2 linked regions of the Saccharomyces cerevisiae S288C genome follow. The gene in region 1 interacts genetically with each later gene. Each region holds a gene or a part of one and is shown on either strand. Other genes may lie near its edges.

The links.
Region 2: mutations in RTF1 (region 1) and VPS72 together harm fitness more than expected from each alone (negative genetic interaction), as found in Saccharomyces cerevisiae (6 studies listed by BioGRID, with this or other methods).

Annotation. Positions count from the first base shown.
Region 1 is NC_001139.9:39,498-43,256, forward strand, and holds RTF1 (RNA polymerase-associated protein), read left to right. Parts: upstream 1-2,000; coding exon 2,001-3,677; downstream 3,678-3,759. Other genes in the region: glutamate--tRNA ligase GUS1, read left to right, coding at 1-1,652.
Region 2 is NC_001136.10:1,425,530-1,429,288, forward strand, and holds the start of VPS72 (Vps72p), read right to left. Parts: upstream 1,679-3,759; coding exon 1-1,678. Other genes in the region: VPS60 (Vps60p), read right to left, coding at 1,902-2,591; 3,4-dihydroxy-2-butanone-4-phosphate synthase RIB3, read right to left, coding at 2,825-3,451; PAC11 (dynein intermediate chain), read right to left, coding at 3,659-3,759. UniProt on the Saccharomyces cerevisiae protein: Participates in the catalytic exchange of histone H2A for the H2A variant HTZ1, an euchromatin-specific factor, leading to chromatin remodeling and changes in transcription of targeted genes. Indirectly involved in vacuolar protein sorting.

The sequences.
Region 1 (3,759 bases):
TCGGCGAAGCTCACGATTTCTTGAGCAAATCTTTACTAGAATTAAAGAAAAGTGCTAATGTGGGTAAGAAGAAGGAAACTCACAAGGCTAACTTTGAAATTGATTTGCCAGATGCCAAAATGGGTGAAGTCGTCACTCGTTTCCCACCTGAACCTTCTGGATACTTACATATTGGACATGCCAAAGCTGCCTTGTTGAACCAATATTTTGCTCAAGCTTACAAGGGTAAGTTGATTATTAGATTCGATGACACCAACCCATCGAAGGAAAAGGAAGAATTCCAAGACTCTATTTTGGAAGATTTGGATTTATTAGGAATCAAGGGTGATAGAATAACCTACTCATCTGACTACTTCCAAGAAATGTACGACTACTGTGTTCAAATGATCAAGGATGGTAAAGCTTACTGTGACGACACTCCAACTGAAAAGATGAGAGAAGAACGTATGGATGGTGTTGCTTCTGCCAGAAGAGATCGTTCTGTTGAAGAGAACTTAAGAATTTTTACCGAAGAAATGAAAAACGGTACTGAAGAAGGTTTGAAGAACTGTGTTCGTGCCAAGATCGATTACAAGGCTTTGAACAAGACTCTAAGAGATCCTGTCATTTACAGATGTAATCTAACCCCTCACCACAGAACCGGATCAACTTGGAAGATCTACCCAACTTATGATTTCTGTGTCCCAATTGTTGATGCTATTGAAGGTGTTACCCACGCTTTACGTACCATTGAATATAGAGACCGTAACGCTCAATATGATTGGATGTTACAAGCTTTGCGTTTGAGAAAAGTCCATATTTGGGATTTCGCTCGTATCAATTTCGTTAGAACCTTGTTGTCTAAGAGAAAGTTACAATGGATGGTTGACAAGGACTTGGTCGGAAATTGGGACGATCCAAGGTTCCCAACTGTCAGGGGTGTGAGAAGAAGAGGTATGACTGTCGAAGGTTTGAGGAACTTCGTCTTATCCCAAGGTCCATCCAGAAATGTCATTAACTTGGAATGGAACTTGATCTGGGCTTTCAACAAGAAGGTCATTGATCCAATTGCTCCAAGACACACTGCTATCGTCAACCCAGTTAAAATCCACTTGGAAGGCTCCGAAGCTCCACAAGAACCAAAGATTGAAATGAAACCAAAACACAAGAAAAACCCAGCTGTGGGCGAAAAGAAAGTCATTTACTACAAAGACATTGTTGTCGACAAAGATGATGCTGACGTCATCAATGTTGATGAAGAAGTCACTTTAATGGACTGGGGTAATGTCATTATTACTAAAAAGAATGACGATGGTTCTATGGTTGCCAAATTGAATTTGGAAGGTGATTTCAAAAAGACCAAGCACAAGTTGACTTGGTTAGCTGATACTAAAGATGTCGTCCCTGTTGATTTAGTTGACTTCGACCATTTGATTACCAAGGACAGATTGGAAGAAGACGAAAGTTTCGAAGATTTCTTGACTCCTCAAACAGAATTCCACACGGATGCCATTGCTGACTTGAATGTTAAGGATATGAAGATTGGTGATATCATCCAATTCGAAAGAAAGGGCTACTACAGATTGGATGCTTTACCCAAGGATGGTAAGCCATATGTCTTTTTTACCATCCCAGATGGTAAATCTGTCAACAAGTATGGTGCAAAGAAATAAGCATCACATAAGTAATGTATATACATATTTATGTTATTTCTCAACCAGTACCTTTTGAACAATATCTTTTATAAGTGAATGGTTTGCTTTCTGAACCAGTCCTGTGTTCGCTGCCTTGAATCATGTAAGGATAGCAGCTTATGACATGTATGTCTACCTATAGAACTTTGACTGTAAAAGTTTATCATCCATTACCCGGTTTTGTAATTTTGACAATTTATATTTTATTGAAATTGGTTCAAATAGTGACTACGAGCTGGAAGGAAAATATTCAAAGTTACAAAAGGTACTTGAAGGATACCAAAGTTTGTAATTGTATTGCACTAATTTGTTGAGAGCACTATAGAAATGTCTGATTTAGATGAGGATTTATTAGCCTTGGCTGGTGCCGATGAATCCGAAGAAGAAGATCAAGTTTTGACAACTACATCTGCCAAAAGGGCAAAAAACAACGACCAATCTCTTTCCAAGAAAAGGAGAATTGAAGTCGGCAGTGTAGAGGATGATGATGAGGAGGACGATTATAACCCTTACTCTGTAGGAAATGCAGACTACGGTTCCGAAGAAGAAGAAGAAGCTAATCCTTTTCCCTTGGAAGGAAAGTACAAGGATGAGAGCGACAGAGAGCACCTGGAATCCTTACCTGAAATGGAACGTGAGACTCTATTATTTGAAAGATCTCAAATCATGCAGAAGTACCAGGAGAGGAAACTTTTTAGAGCACGTGGAAGAGATATGAAGGAACAACAACAGAGAGCCAAGAACGACGAAGATTCCAGAAAGACCAGAGCTTCCACTAGATCAACCCATGCTACTGGGCATTCTGATATCAAGGCTTCAAAACTTTCGCAATTAAAGAAACAAAGAGCGAGGAAAAACCGTCACTACAGCGATAATGAAGACGAAGACGATGAGGAAGATTACAGGGAAGAAGACTACAAGGACGATGAAGGGAGTGAATACGGGGATGATGAAGAATACAATCCTTTTGATAGAAGGGATACATACGACAAAAGAGAAGAAGTGGAGTGGGCTGAAGAGGAGGACGAGCAAGACAGAGAGCCTGAGATTTCTGATTTCAACAAACTAAGGATCGGTCGTTCATTTGTCGCAAAATTTTGTTTTTATCCCGGGTTTGAAGATGCAGTCAAAGGTTGTTATGGGAGAGTCAATGTTGGCACAGATAAACGTACCGGCAAAACTTCTTACCGTATGGTGAGAATTGAGAGAGTTTTCTTGCAAAAACCTTACAATATGGGTAAGTTCTATACTAACCAGTATTTCGGTGTTACCCAAGGTAAAGACAGAAAGGTTTTTCAAATGAATTATTTTAGTGATGGTTTGTTTGCCGAAGACGAATACCAAAGGTATCTCAGGGCATTGGATAATTCGCAAATGATTAAACCTTCTTTACATTCTTTGAGTAACAAAACGAAAGAGGTTATGGATTTTGTCAATACACCATTGACTGATAAAACTACAGATGAGGTTGTTCGCCATAGGATGCAATTCAATAAAAAACTATCTGGTACGAATGCAGTCTTGGAGAAAACTGTATTGAGAGAAAAATTGCAATATGCCAAGGAGACTAATAATGAAAAGGACATTGCAAAATACTCTGCTCAGTTAAGAAACTTTGAGAAACGAATGTCTGTATACGAGAAGCATCATGAAAATGACCAATCTGACATTAAAAAACTAGGCGAGTTGACCTCTAAGAATAGAAAATTGAATATGAGTAACATCAGAAATGCAGAGCATGTGAAAAAAGAAGACAGTAATAACTTTGATTCAAAGAGCGATCCTTTCAGCAGGCTAAAAACCAGGACCAAAGTTTACTATCAGGAGATACAAAAGGAAGAAAACGCAAAAGCTAAAGAAATTGCACAACAAGAGAAGCTACAAGAAGATAAAGATGCTAAAGATAAGCGTGAGAAAGAGCTACTTGTGGCACAATTCAGGCGCCTTGGTGGGTTGGAGCGCATGGTTGGTGAATTGGATATCAAATTTGACCTTAAGTTTTAGTAGGCAGGACAATTTCAGTGTTTGTAAAAATATATTTATATTTATATATTTAAATATACTAAATAAAAATAATACTATCATC
Region 2 (3,759 bases), on another chromosome or scaffold:
GTGACTCTTCAGTATCGATTATGGCCACTTGCGGATGGTCGGTAAACGTTACTTGTTTCAAGAAAGAAACATCAGTATTGCTTTTGGTCTCTTGTGGTACATTATGAGATAAGTTCTCGATGCCTTCGGTTTTCAGACAAGGTTCAGGCTCTCCTTTTATATCCGTATCCGGAGAGATCAATATAGTATCTTCAGTGCCAGTGGAGTTTGATGGTGTAGGTGTTGCAGAATTATCCCTTTGTGAGACCACTTGGGCAGCAGGTGATGAGTTTTCAAAAGTATTTTCCCTGCTCTCGAGAGCACTTACCATTTCATCTTTAATTTCTTCATTATGTAAATTTTGTATCGGTTCGCCTACATTGGTAATTTTTTGCTCATTAGTTATTATATTCTTTTGTGGTTGGCTGTTGGGAGCTTCATCAACGGTACTCTGCTTGTTTGCAATTGCGTCCAATGTAACATCAGGTAATGCTGTTGGCTTTAATTCGTCTGAATTTACTCTACTCACCGCTGCATCTGGACTCGATTCTCCTTCAACTGTATCGTTAGTAGAAGTTTCCTCAATCCTTTTCTGGTTGTGTACAGATGAAGAATTCTCACCCAAAGAATTCACGTCGCCATCGTTCTTTATCGATTCTTCACTCTCCCGCTTTTTATCATCTGATGCGTCCTGTTTTCCGAGATTTAAATTCTTCTTTGGCTTCCTCGGATATTTTTTCTTCTTCTTATCACGTTTATTCAATTGTTCCTGCCAATATTTACGATCTTCTAACTCCATCGCTGGCGTCATTAGCCAAGCAGTAGATAAAAATTGCAGTATAGTCTCATTTGGCTGGAATTTCTGCTTTTGTCTTTTCTGCAAAGCTAGACGATTCTCCTTTTTCCAAACTTCTTGTTCCTTGAACTTATCCAGTGACAAAATATTCAGCTTCTCAGTCTCCTTGGCAATCCGTAGCCTCTCTTCTTGTGTCAGCATATGCTGAGACTCCTGCTCCTTGTGTTTCCTTATTCTTTCTTGTATAATTTTTCTCTTTTTTTCAGCTTTAGACAATTTCTCATAAACTTTCATCGTGTTTTCCATTACCGATGATCTTTTAGAAGTTCTCCTTGTATTTAATAGTAACGTCTCTGCGTTTAATTGTTCATGGGTATGGTGCGATCTTGGTATAGCTTCTCCTGACTTAGGCTTAGGTTTTTGTTTTTTGATTACAACGGGACCCTTCTGTAATCTCTTGTTTCTTTTCTTTCTTGAAAGTAGTTCTTGTCTTCGTATTTCCTTTTCCTCTGCATCTTCATCATTCTCGTTGCTGGAGTCCTCAGATTCGCTACTGCTGAACATTAAGTCATCGGCTGCTTGCTCACTTGAAGCCTGAGAGGGCTCTTTCCTTATACTTTGAGTCTCATCTTCTTTTTCTTCCCCTTCATCATCGTCATCTTTTGCCATCATTTCGAAATCTTCATCATCTTCATCTTCCTGAAACAACAGCCCTATTTCATCTTCTTCATCATCATTACCATTCTTATAGGAAGAAATTTGTCTTTTGGTAGATTCTATATCTCTTAGCTCCTGCTCCAATAGTTTTTGTAATTTATTACCGGCATTAGACCTCCTAGATCGTGTTTGTATAATAAATTCTGTGTTAGTATCTAGACTTTTATCAGCACCTTCATCACTCATCGTGCACTGTGAATTTGCTTCGGTTTCACTTCTATTTGTATTCATTAGACTACATGGTGCTTTCTGCTTACTGTTTTTTCCATCAGGATTTTTTTAACAAAGAAAAAAGAAAACTACTAAAACCTAAATAAGGTACATATTTTGGCTTACCAGCAAAGAGAATATAAAGAAAAGGGAAAGGAGAGAAAAATTCTGAATATGCAACTTTGTGTGCTTTTTGTTTTCACTGAGCGCTTTCTAAAGCTTTATTTTTGTCTTCAGTATCTAAGTTTGGCTCTTCATCAATAAAAGCCGGTGGCGCATTCGCACCTAGTAAGTAACTGGGCATATCGTTACCTAATGAGTTTTCGCTGGTTGGCAAAGTGAAATCCTCTTGTGCCAGAGCATCCAGCTCTGCATCCAGCTCTGCATCACTAATGTCGTCGAGCTCGCCACTGTTATTATTCATTGCCAAGACTTCTTGCAGCTCATCCCCTTGTTCTATTAAATCCAGCATCTCATCCTGCATGTCCTGTAGTTTGTCGATATTTATCTTGCCGTATTGAGCCTTCATGGCATTGTTTGTTTGCTTTAGTGCGTTTATAGTGATCATTGTGTTCTGTAAGTTATCATTTGTTAACTGGGCTTGCGTCATGGACCAGGATTGAGAATCTAAAGAATCCTTCATATTTTCTAACTGTTTACGTTTATTTAAAATCTTCAAAGCCTGTTTTCTTAACGAGGGTTGCTTGTTGTTTGATCTTTGCAAATTCTTTTGAATATTTTGCAGCTGGAAGTTTAACTGGGCGATTTGAGTATCTAACTGGGATATTCTGTTCGATAGTGATTGTTGGGCCTGATTCATGGACTGATTCGACTCTTGTAAGAGCTGATCATGGCTCTTTTTGTTCCCATATCCGAAAATCCTGTTCATAATTGCCTTGAAGAGTTTATAACTGTGTTTCAACCAATCTTGGCTTCCTCCTATTACTACTTTTTTTAGATGTACTTTTTCTCTTGCTAAAAATCCCATATTTTTGTATGGCTGAAAAACATAGAGGAAGAAAAAGGTCAAAAAACAAAAGATATATACAAAGTTACAAATATATACATGTATATATGTGTGAGTCTGTTGTGATAGAATGAATGGAGAAAATGTTCACCAGATTATTTCTTCAAATATTGGGCCAATTCTTCGATGGAGATCAAAGGAATGCCATGTTTCTTACCAAACGCTTGGCAGTCATTTAATCTCATCATAGTTCCTTGTTCGTCATCGTTAACCAATTCGCCAATAACAGCGACGGGACTTAGTCCACTTAGTTTACACAAATCGACACCGGCCTCAGTGTGGCCTCTTCTCTGCAAAACACCGCCATCAGCGGCTCTCAAGGGACAGATGTGCCCTGGTTTTAAAAATGATTTTGGCGTAGAGGAAGAGTCTGCAAGAGCCCTACAAGTCATCGACCTGTCGTGAGCAGAAATACCTGTGGTAGTGCCTTGGGCTACATCTACAGTTATTGTGTATGCAGTTCCATGCCTGTCGTCATCATTGGATTCAAACTTCATGCCTGTTCTCAGTAGTGGAAGGTCCAACTTATCAGCAATGGCATTCGTCATAGGTGCACAGACGTAGCCTGAGGAATGGCGTACAAGAAAGGCCATTTGTTCAGTGCTGACATTTTCAGCAGCGCAAATAAGATCACCTTCATTTTCACGACCGGCATCGTCCATAACAATTACAAACTTATTCTGCTTGAAGTGTTCTATAGCTTGATCAATTGGTGTAAACATTTTCGACGTTGCCTTTTCTTCTTTTCCTTTCCTTTTTTTTAGCCTTCTGCTTTTTGTTGGAGATATTTACATTCACCTCACATATATACGCCAATGAAAATTTCACAATAGCACGTATATTAATAATAGCCTTGCTTTTTTTTATCAATTCTCGCTAAGAAATTACTCATCAGGCAATAACCTATGCTCACCCGCCTCGAAGCGGCGTTAGGAGATAACAGTGGCCGTGTAGAGGGACGTCTTAGCATCGAAAGCCCAATTTACAACAACGAGGCGACCATCTGCACACCACACTTGACACCGTAGAG